Nothobranchius furzeri: one gene and its partners. The protein of the gene in region 2 interacts with the protein of the main gene of each other region in a biochemical or structural test. Links are inferred from orthologs where the notes say so. Each region holds a gene or a part of one and is shown on either strand. Other genes may lie near its edges. The genes, in order: synrg, ap1g1 and eps15.

Region 1 (3,652 bases), on a different chromosome or scaffold from region 2:
CTGTACTTGTCACCAACATCTGAACAGAAAGTTGTACAACAGTCACGAACCGTTTTAACATGAGTCACGGGCCACGGCTGTGACGTACGGCCCCAGATTGGAGCGCCGTGGGAGTTTGATTCACCTGATGTGGGGGGCGTCGGCTCTGCGGGCTGATCTTCAGACAGCTGCTTGAACACAGCGTACTTATCGGTGGACGTGACAGAGGAAGAGGAGGAGCCAGACACTGGAGTCAGCATGGCCGGAGTGCTGTTCAAACACAAAAGCTCACTTCAGACGAGAGGAGTGAACGAGCTTTACCCTCTAGCAGACGTCGGAGATGATTTTAATGTTTAAAAGGTTTTTAATAAACTCGCTGTGGTCTCTGGCTTGAACGAACGCCTTGTGGGAGAAAAGCCTTGGCGCTCCTGTTTCAGGAAGGAGAAGTTTATCAGAGGAGTCTTACTCCTTAATTTTCATGATATACAAATGTCTGTCCTCTGATTGGCTAACAGAAACACCACCCTTCCGTGGCCTTCGTTCACTTTTCTTTCTTGGATAAAGCCTAATTTATACTTCTGCGTCTGCGTCGGGACCAAGCCCCCACAATACGGGTCTGAAAATGAGGCCAACACGGAAGTGACAAAAATTGCAGTTTCACCCTCATCCACTAGGGGCTGGTGTCAGAAGCGAGCAAATCCTCATTGACTCCCATGTTAAAAATACCAATTTCACAGCAGAAATAAACATGTTTACAGCCTGGTACCAGAACATGTTTTAGGTTTAAATGATCTAGTTTACACTCATGACAACTCTGAGGGGGGTGAGTTTTTTTCTCACTCTTCTGTTTAAGTGTATTAAAAGCCTAAAATTCTGTATAATTAATGAGCATCAGACCCACGTGACCGCAGAGCTAGCTCCGGGGAAAGGCCTCAGTAGAGCCTCGGCCTCGCCTGAAAACTGTTCCGTCATTTTCAGTCTCTCAACTTAGACCATTAGTTGTAGCGTTTGTGCGTTCATTTTTGGATATTATTTGAGCAATTGTTGGACAAAATGACTTGCTGTGGCATTAATTGCACTAATAGGCATCTTACTGTAAAAAATATACCATTAATGTAAAAAATAAACTCTAAATAAACTATGTTCACATCCAGAATCAAACCCAGGTCTTCTGCACGACAGCTCGAACTTATACTAGGCGAGCTAAAGCACCAGTGGCATCTTCTGCATCTATAACTTTTATATCCTTGATCACAGCTGAAACAACGTTCAAAGAACGGTTCGGAGGGCGATGCCTGAGCGTGAACGCGCATGAAGCAGCCTGCTCGACCCGAGCATCTCTCTTTTTCTGTGATTTTACAGAAAAACAGGCAATCACAGTAAAAATGCCAGGGCTCATTCTACAGGACCAGGGCATTGCAGGAGAATGTATGAAGAAGACATTTATTATTTCTATACATGTTTTGGCTGTCACACTTCCATAATGCCCCTTTAACCATGAAATTTAAATGTAATAGGGTAAAACCCAGTGCATTTAACTTAATGCTGCACTTTAGAAAATGGGTTGAAATGTGACATGTTGGTGGAGCTGGGTTCCGACTATTCGTATGGATTCCCTCCCCTCAGCGGCAGCTCAGCGCATCTCAGATCGCAGCGGCGGCGCCCGTCTGTTGTGCGGCTGCCGGCCTGTGAAGCTTTCGGGAGACCTCTGTGTTCCACCCGGTTTTACCCAGCGCTCAGACCGGCGCATTTCTGACTCAGAAGTTCTGGTGTTGTGCACAGTAAACTCTGGTTGTAGCTAGGTAGCTACCTCCGTTAACTTAGCTTCCACCTCCGTGTTAGCTTTGTGTTAGCTTGTAGCTAGTTCGACGGGTGTCGTCATTTGATCCCAGCCTTACAGCCCCGCCTTCAGCTCCACCTCTTTTCCCTTTATTGGAATTGTCTGGGCTTGACGGAACCTGTGACACGGTCAAAATGGTGGTGGTGGTCACCTCCCATTTTGGCACAAAAACTTAGAATTGGAGCCTATGGACACGCATTGTCCAATATATATGGTGATGGTCGGGACGGACGCACGCAACACCATTATCCGTCCTTTCAAGGGTTCTCTCGCAGGGATGAACGGAGTCGAGCTCTCTTCTCTAAACATCCGTCCAATGAGATGGAGAACGCAAGCTTGTGATTGGTCACGACGCCGCTGTCGTCTACAGCTCCGCCATTGCGCCCTCAAACACAAAGAGAGCTGAAGATATCTAGCAGCAGACACAGAGAAGCCTGAAGAATACCTAACCGTAAAAATATAAACGTTTAATTCCCCCCTGACTGGAGGAGTGAAAAGATGAGCAGCAAGCGTTTTACTCGTGGACGGAAATGACGGGAAACGTAGGTTAGAGGCGGCGAGCGCATGATTGTTAGAAAGTCTCTTAAATATAAAAAACACAATATAAAAACACTATATTGGACGGGATACCCCCAGAACAGCGCTACGCCCTGTTGTCCTGGTGGAGAATTGCTTTGCAACACTCCCCGGGAGACGGAGAAGTCCAAAGGCAAACCGTCTCTGTCCCGGCGTGCGTGTCCCCCTCGTGGAGCTGATGGGAGACGTAGAAATTTGGCTTAAAAAATACGATGTTTCATCTCTATAAATAAAACAAGTCTGAAGGAGTTCTGCTGTTGTGGAGCTGCTAATGCTAACAGTTAGCTTCTACTAGCTGCTCTGTCCTTCAAAGTGGGCGGGGCCAAGAAAAATCCATTTTCCTTACGACGTAGAAGAGTGTGGCTTTTTCTGACCTGATTTTGCTCCCGTAGGTTTCCTTTCTGTGGCTAAAGCAGGTGATGGGGTTGGAGGAGATGTTCTGGTTCAGCATGTGAAACTCAGAGCGACCGATCGTGTTTAATAAAAACACGCATTCTAAGTAAACGAGGCTTTTGAAGGTTCCAGCTCGAGTCAACAAGAGTCCTTAAACAGGAAAATGTGTTTCAGATCAAATGTGTTTACAGAAAGTAAAACGCAGAAACGAACACCGCCGCTGTCCACTGGCATGAATTTATTATGGGGTGACCCCACCTCATTGCTATTCAGAGGAGGCTATTACAAGGTACTAACAGAGTGTACGGCAGACGGAAAGAGACAATTATTATGCAGAATACCTCTGCTATAAATAATCATGGGGGAGGGGGTATTGGACGCTCATCTCTGCAAATGTTCACATCTCCTCTTCAAAGAGGTTGATGGTGGAACACTCAGCTGGTAGCTTATTTCAAATGCAGAGCACAAAACTCCACTAGTTTAAAGGAAAGCCGAGTGTTTTATGTTGAAACTGATCAGAATGAAGACCATTTAGAGTTCTGTTTTCTCCGTACCTGTTTTGGAGTTGAGGGGCGATCGTATTAGGGAAACTTCCTCCCGACTCCCCCTGAAAGTTTGCGAAGGCCTGGTCCACTCCAGCCTTCGGAGCCTCCTGGAAGTCCTGGAACTCGTCGTCGTCGGTTTTGGCGGCCTGCGTGGGACGGTTTGACGGTTAGATAAGAGAAGCAACCAGCTGCAGAGAGGCTTTTTAACGAGGTTTGGCGTTACCTGCGCAGGAGGGAACGCAGCAATGAAGCTGGTGTTTGTGGGCGGCTGAGCAGGTGCAGAGGGGGCCATGGCCATAACTGGAGCTGCTGGTGTGGC
Region 2 (3,652 bases):
AAACATTAACTTGTTCAAAATACTACGTAGCTCCCAGTTGCTCATGTAGTGGATAGTTAAGCTCAAATACGGCTCTGATGTGCGGCTGGACCAGAGATCGCTTGTGGTAGCAAAAAACTGCGAATTCTGAATATTTTCTGCAACAAGTCTCTAAATAAAGTAAAAATTTCCAGTGCACATTGGAGACAACCCATAGAAGCACTGATTTGATCTCATTTCAGAGAAAAATAGAACAGGTTAGATGCACCTAATAAATAAAATTACTAACAAACTCAGGAATCTTTCTTTGCTTCACTGTTCTGGTGCTGAAAACATCACTGATGTGGATCAAAGGAGATGCACAGATGAATGCACCTCTTATTATTTGGAGACTACATTTACTGCAGCTGGCAGAGGAAGAGATCGTTTCTATTGATACACGGAGTTTACAGAATCATTTTAAATTGTAATAGGGGAAGACTGCAGGAGGGAGCGGTAAAATACAGGGGGTCCCAGCAAAAACAAGAAACTACGAGTCTGATGAAACCCGCTGGTTTTCCATCAGGCAGTCACGATGCAGCTCCAGCGACCGAGCTCAGTCCAGTACCAACACCGGCTCGGCAGAGGGTGAACGAGCCGAGGCGGCGTCGTGCTCTGCTTAAGAAGCGGTGTTATTTTCCTGATTCAGAAGAAGCGTCCAACGTGTTTTTACGCTTTCTCCGAGACATGTCACGTCACTAAGTTGTTAGCGCCGTGCGCTAAGGAAACCCTGCGTTCCTCTTCGGAACGAAAACCTCATGTCGCTCTCAGCCGCGGCCGAAGCCATGTTTGTTCACACACAAGTGAAAACAAGCGGGGCACTAATGTATTACTATGACTCACTCTGATTGGTTAAGGGTCAAACAAAGGCGTGTCATTCGCCTGGGGTAAGTTCCCTTTTCATTCAGAGGCAGAAATTCAACAGCAGAGCTGTGAATCGTGATAAAACGGTCTCTCAAAAATGACAGACCGTCAGATGTGTAGATCGTAAAACGGTCTAAATTCGTCATATCGCCCAGCCCTAGCCTGGGGCCAAAATACATGTTGCATCTCCTTGCAGTATCTATGCCCAGCAGGGCTCAGATCCGTAGGAAGTGGTCAGCTGGTAGAACCCCGGGTCAGAACCAAACAGGGTGAAGCTGCTTTTAGCTACTATGCTGCACACAGAGGGAATCAGATTCCTCATGACCTCAGATGTACCCCAACTCTAGTAACATTTGAATCAAAATTGAGAATTTTCATGTATTCATCATCTTTTGAATGAATGTTTCTTTTGCTGCACTTTCTGCACTGTAACTGCTGTAATTTGTTCTGTTGTCACGTGGATTTTAACGCTTTACGTTCCTGCTCCTGGACAGACCATTGAATTGCTCATGTACAATTAAAGCTGCCTTGCACTACAGTGGAAAAAAAACAACAACAAAAAAACATCTAGACTTGTGTAATATGAGTTATACCTAAAATAGTTAAGGATACTCACTTCACACTGCTGAAACGAGTCGACAGTTTCATGATAGCAGTAAGAGAATAACCCCGAGTCACAGGTGTGGACAGATTAGACACAAGAAGCCCTTCCAACACATCCAGAACTTCATCTTCAGTCACCTTTATTAAAATAAAAGAACATACATTTGTATAGCATTAGTATTTACAATGTTCGTGATCCTTAGTTTGTGTGTTTCTTCATCTTTTCAATATACCTGGATGGGTTCTTCCTCCTCACATTGCCCTGACACCAGCAGGTCTCCATACTCTCCTATGCACCATGATGCAACCTGAACAAGAGGTTGCTAGGGAACGGACAGAGAAGATAAAACTAAGTTTCTAATGCACTAATGGAAACATAAACGCACATTAGATGATCAAATCTATGGCTGGAGGCTTCAGAGGTGAAGATTACATTTAATTTAATCAGAAGCTAAAGCAGAGCTGCACCGACCTGTGAAATGTCATCCAGAAGTGCTTTGTAAAGTCTCTGAACTGTGTAGGCATGCATCTCCACGCTGTTTGTGATGAGCTGAATAAGGTTGGGAACGGAGTCGTCTCGCACGTAGCTTCCTGCCTGTGAAGATAATCAGAAAAAATAAACAAACGACGCAGAACACTAAGCTGCAGAATTACAAATTACATTCAATTACATTGTCATTGGAATGTTTTTGTGGTATACATACTGTTGTCAGCACTCTCATGATGGTGTCTATGTGCCACCTTTTAGAAGGAGCATACCTGTAAAACATAAAATATTAGATTGGTCACAGAGGAGAACAGGAAACGTGAAGTTCTTGTACAGCCGGACGATGTACGCTGTCAGAAAATAGAAGGCATCACCATGATCACTCAGATGATGGATCACTCTTTTTATCATCACACAGCTTTCTTTAACCGACATCAGACATTTACCCTGACTTCTCAACAAAAGAAACCCTGAATTCACCATGCCAGGACAAAATGGGGCAGAATGGCTTCACAGATCTCTAAAAATCAGCAAACTGAAAAACAAAACGTAAGGTCGTACTTCTCAGCGGCTAGAAAGACTCCCGACGCGCAGTCTGCTTTGAATTCTGGGTCACACGAGTCCAGGAAGTAGAGCAGCTCCTTCATCATGCCTCTGATGTTGTTGCCGTTCACAAGAGCAAAGCTCAGCTCCATTGCACGTCTGAAAAAACAAAAATAAAAATCAGAAAACGAAGAGTGAAACTATAACCGCAGCAATTCGAGCAGCAGGACAAACCTCTTGATGGACACGTCCAGGTCTTTCAAACAGTCCACGATGGTGCTCCGATGCCTCTGAACTGCATTGTGATCCGTTTGTACCGTCTTTAGTAGAGACGTCAATGCCACATATCTGGGGAAAATCAAGCGGTCTATTAAAAACAGCACTTAAATGTATGCACTAAAATTCAAGTGGGATGAGTGCATTAATAAATACCTAATATTTTTGTCGTTGTTAAGGAGGAAGCGACCCAAGATGTTAATGGCCAAAACCTGCAGGGAAAAGGACATTTAAGCTGAGTCAGAATAGAAAAATATTGTGATTCAGTTCTTTAAATCAACTCACCCTCAGTCCGCTTTCAGACTTGATGTCCATTATCGTGAGTACGGTCTCATACAGGATTGCATTGCCTACATTTTTACTCGTCTCTGTGTTTGTTGCCACCTGCAGGACATGACTGTCAGTTACACAAAATCAGCAGCGACTTTTAAATCCAATTAGAGTTTTATTATCATTTTAACCTGTGCGAGTATGTCGTTCATCGCTTCACTGGAGTCGTCGTCGTTCTTGCCTAAAATTCGCAGTAGTCTCAATATCCGCACCTGGTCATTGAAAACATTCATCACAAACAGCTTTAAGATTCCAAAGTCACTAAAAACTACAACAGCAGTGTGTGTTTTAGCTGTAGGGATTTATCGCCAGCATTAAACCTGAGACCATGACTACTTTTACATGCAGCCATTATCCGGGTTATGATCGGGTTAAGGTCGGTATTCGGGTTTCTGAGTTGATCAGAATAACCCGTTTACAAGCATAAATAGAAAGAGTTACCCCTAACTTGCATAACCCGATTTAAATGCGGACGTTGGGGTAGCGTCAGGACGTATGGACTATGTCAAGACGCAATATGCGTCACATTTC
Region 3 (3,652 bases), on a different chromosome or scaffold from region 2:
AAGATTCTAGTCAGCACCATGTCACCTCCCTACAGGTGGAGTCCCCAGAGCCAGAGAGCAAACCAGAGCCAGCAGACTTGACAGAACCTGCCATCCCCTCGTTGCCTCCTCAGGTTGGACCTCGCTCCATGCCACCACAAACGAGCCCCCCCTCCCTGCCTGAGATGAACTTCTTTCATTCAGACCCTTTTACAGATCGTGAGTTCTCATAATAAAGAGTCAAGCGTCTGTTGAGTCACCCACTGAGATGGAAATGTTTAAAGATGGACTTTTTTGTAGATGATCCATTTAAAGACGATCCTTTTGGTAAAGCAGATGTTGCAGGTCAGTTTTACCTTTTCAGTCTAAGAAATGGGTCTGTTAGGTTGAAAAGAAATGTCCAACTCTATTTTTTTTTCCATTTGATGTCAGATCCTTTTGGAGGAGATCCGTTCAAAGGCTCGGACCCGTTTGCTGCAGATTCCTTTTTTGCACAGACTTCCAACGCCGCCTTTTCCTCAGAGGACCCTTTCTCCGCTTCAGCTGACCCATTTGGTACCACCCCCGGTGTGCCAGAACCAGACCTGTTTGCAGCCAAGCTAAATGATATGGCTCCAACACCATCCGCACCAGCAGCAGAAGTCCAGGATCCGTTTGTTTCCAAAAGCATGAATCCAACTCCAGCATCCAAGGATCCATTCAGCTCGACGGGAACCAGCAAGGTGGATCGGGACCCATTTGGAGGCAAAATCAACCCCTCAGGGGAGACGGATCCGTTTAGTTCACGGGATGGAGGAACAGATCCTTTCAACTGTTCTGTGAGTTCTGATGTTGCTCTGGTGAGTGGCTCCTTTTATCATTTTAGAGATTGTGTATCATGCTATTTTAAACCATACAGAGCAAGGCTAGGCACAGTAAATGATTAAAATACCACCGCTGGCACTATCGAGAGTCTTTAGTTCAGGAAAACAAGTTATTTTCTTGACATTTTATCAACCCAGAAATAAGACGCTTGGTTTTTATGAAATCTCACCTCCACCTGTGTGAATTCCATCATTACACAACGTAACCCTGAAGCCCCAGCAAAGCGCTGTGGACAATGAAGAAAATAGCAGTAGATTAAAACGCACACCAGTAGTGAAGTGGCTACTGGGAGGATCAGGACAAAAGGGCCACCCTGCGATTGCCAAGTGTGACCCCCACCTCTGTTCTCCGTCGTAGAAGCCGGTAATGAGTTGCTAACACCAACGCCACTGTGGCCCATGCTAGGATGGTTTTAACGCTGGCCACAGTCTGAAGAAGTAATCCATCTGAAAACCCACTCCGGTATTGGTGGTGCATTAATAACCAATCTGTGAAATCATGATCTCATTCTGGCTCGGTTTTGAGCTCCTGAAGATGAATTAAACTCTTCTTCAGAACCGTTTTTGGGTTCTAGGCATTATTTTAAATTCAGACTACATAAAGAAATTCCTTCTTCACAAATGTGGAGACTAAACTCCCTTCTTACTACGCAGGGACTGAATGTTAATGTTTACAGTCCAGGAGAGGAGGGATCCAGATTCGATGCTACCTGGATGGAGAGAAGCCGTGCACGATGATGCAGACCTGCTTCATTCAGCTGTTGGCAATGACTTAGCAGACCTCCAGAGACTCTGCAGCTGAGACGGGAAAATACATGTGTGAAGCCAAAAACCACTTTGGGGGTGTTTTTAATGAGGACAAAAACAAAAAACATGGTCAAAAGCTCCAGAAAGTGCATGACGGTCCCTTAAACCCAAATCTAGGCATGATGCTACATGATCACCCATCCCCTGTAGACAGCTGGAGTGGATTAAATACGCGTTAAATAATATAAGAACAAAGACATCATTTAGAGGCTCATCATTTTTTGGAAGATTATTTCAAGTAGTTTATTAAAGCATGCACATAAAGTAATTTGTCTCTGTTTTTCAGGACCCTGCACCATCAAATGACCCGTTTGCCCCTGGAGGTACAACAGTGAACGCCACCTCAGATGCAGGTATAACTCTGGACTCTAGAGACAGGAAGCATTTGATAATAAATACCTTTATGTGGTGAACTGTTTTCTTTCAGATCCGTTTGCTGCGGTGTTTGGTAACGATTCGTTCGTCGGAGGCTTTGCAGATTTCAGCGATCTGTCCAAGGTGATGTTCAGAGTTTAGACATGGCCTCTAAATGTCTGAAGGTTTTACTGTTGAATACATATTTTCCTGAACACATGAAGCTACACCAGTAACTAAACTGGGGTGTCGACTTCCTGTTCCAGTCAAACGGTCCTGACCAGTTTGGGATCAACAACAAGAACCTGTTTCAGGAGGACAGCCAGTCTCCCACCTCGGACATTCCTCCGGCCCTGCCCCCTAAAACGGGTACTCCAACGAGACCCCCCCCTCCACCTCCAGGTCAGTGACACGGCTGGACGGTTGTAAACGTTTGCTGTAGAGACGCATCAAGTGAAAACGAGCACTTTGTCCTCCAGGTAAGAGGTCGTCCATCTCTAGGACCGAGTCCTCTGAGTCCTTCCAACGAAGGGGAAACTTCATCCCACAAACCTCAGGAGACTTCTCCTCTTCCTCCTCCTCCTCCTCCTCCCTGCCTGTCAAGGATCCTTTAGCTGACCCCTTCGCCCCCTCCTCCCCTCCTCGGCACAACCTGCGGGAAGCTGATCGGTTTGCCAGCTTTGACAAAGTGAGCACCTCCCCCTCGTCATCTCCCTCACCTCCACCTGAATGTCAATAGTCACACCCTCTTTTCTTTCCTGCAAACAAATCGCAGCTTTTTCAGGAACGCAGCCTCCGCCAAGTAAATCAGGCCAGTGCCGTTCTCAGCCAACAGCAACAACCACAGAAAGGAAGCTAAAGTTTTATTCACAGTTTAACTAAGTAGCGTGATTCTAGAATGTTTTAGAGATGTTTTCCACTCATCCCACCTGCAGTTTGCTGTTTGTTATTAATGCCATTTTCTTAAAAATCACTAATTTGCCACATTTATTTGGGAGATTTTGATTAAATTTAAGGCTTTTTTTGTAGTTGGATAGATGCTCTCTGGTAATTTGTGACATAAAAATGTACAGAAATATCCTAAAACTATATAAATTAATATATTTGAATTGATTTGTAGCCACAGTCACAATTTCAGAGCTAAAGTAGTTTCTAGATGAGAGGCTGCTTGATGTTGCACCCTGTGCACGCACGCATGTTAAAGCAGAATAACCTAAACTAGGTTACTGCATTAGAAAGATTTTACGCTGCTTTTTGAGTGAACGTGTGTATTGAGGTCCAGCGGCTTATTCTGTGTCTGCTGAAGCTCAGAGACGGGTTTTAACTAACTAGCTTTAGCCAAACTCTTCACGGGTGAAAGAAATATTTCACACCTTGTTTCGCAAAATCACCATATTTAAGGGAAGTTTTACCACAGAGGCCTTTTCCATTAAAAACTGCACCCAAGTGCACCTTTGCTGTAACTGCTTCTGAAACATCCCCCTAAAGCTGCAGAAGTTGTGAATTTGGGTTTGGATGATCGAGAAGACGGTGATGATTTTTTTTAATGACCCCACCTGCATGTTTCTGTCCGACCCTAACCCACACACACTGTGTGTTTGACTGGCTGACTGATGCTCGATTACAAACTGCCTCCGTCATCCCTCAAA

Evidence for each region.
Region 1: the proteins of ap1g1 (region 2) and synrg form a complex in vitro, tested with the Homo sapiens proteins (2 studies listed by BioGRID). The link is inferred for Nothobranchius furzeri from reciprocal best matches to the Homo sapiens genes AP1G1 and SYNRG.
Region 3: the proteins of ap1g1 (region 2) and eps15 form a complex in vitro, tested with the Homo sapiens proteins (2 studies listed by BioGRID). The link is inferred for Nothobranchius furzeri from reciprocal best matches to the Homo sapiens genes AP1G1 and EPS15.

Annotation. Positions count from the first base shown.
Region 1 is NC_091753.1:55,105,176-55,108,827, forward strand, and holds part of synrg (synergin gamma), read right to left. Parts: coding exon 3,557-3,652; intron 3,480-3,556; coding exon 3,343-3,479; intron 250-3,342; coding exon 125-249; intron 20-124; coding exon 1-19. UniProt on the Homo sapiens protein: Plays a role in endocytosis and/or membrane trafficking at the trans-Golgi network (TGN). May act by linking the adapter protein complex AP-1 to other proteins. Component of clathrin-coated vesicles.
Region 2 is NC_091749.1:59,364,758-59,368,409, forward strand, and holds part of ap1g1 (AP-1 complex subunit gamma-1), read right to left. Parts: intron 3,334-3,652; coding exon 3,253-3,333; intron 3,176-3,252; coding exon 3,077-3,175; intron 3,004-3,076; coding exon 2,948-3,003; intron 2,864-2,947; coding exon 2,750-2,863; intron 2,675-2,749; coding exon 2,534-2,674; intron 2,245-2,533; coding exon 2,190-2,244; intron 2,081-2,189; coding exon 1,958-2,080; intron 1,809-1,957; coding exon 1,719-1,808; intron 1,624-1,718; coding exon 1,499-1,623; intron 1-1,498. UniProt on the Homo sapiens protein: Subunit of clathrin-associated adaptor protein complex 1 that plays a role in protein sorting in the late-Golgi/trans-Golgi network (TGN) and/or endosomes.
Region 3 is NC_091748.1:56,873,440-56,877,091, reverse strand, and holds part of eps15 (epidermal growth factor receptor substrate 15), read left to right. Parts: intron 1-35; coding exon 36-198; intron 199-279; coding exon 280-324; intron 325-411; coding exon 412-818; intron 819-1,935; coding exon 1,936-2,002; intron 2,003-2,076; coding exon 2,077-2,147; intron 2,148-2,269; coding exon 2,270-2,405; intron 2,406-2,482; coding exon 2,483-2,691; intron 2,692-2,778; coding exon of another isoform or gene 2,779-2,862; exon of another isoform or gene 2,863-3,652. UniProt on the Homo sapiens protein: Involved in cell growth regulation. May be involved in the regulation of mitogenic signals and control of cell proliferation. Involved in the internalization of ligand-inducible receptors of the receptor tyrosine kinase (RTK) type, in particular EGFR.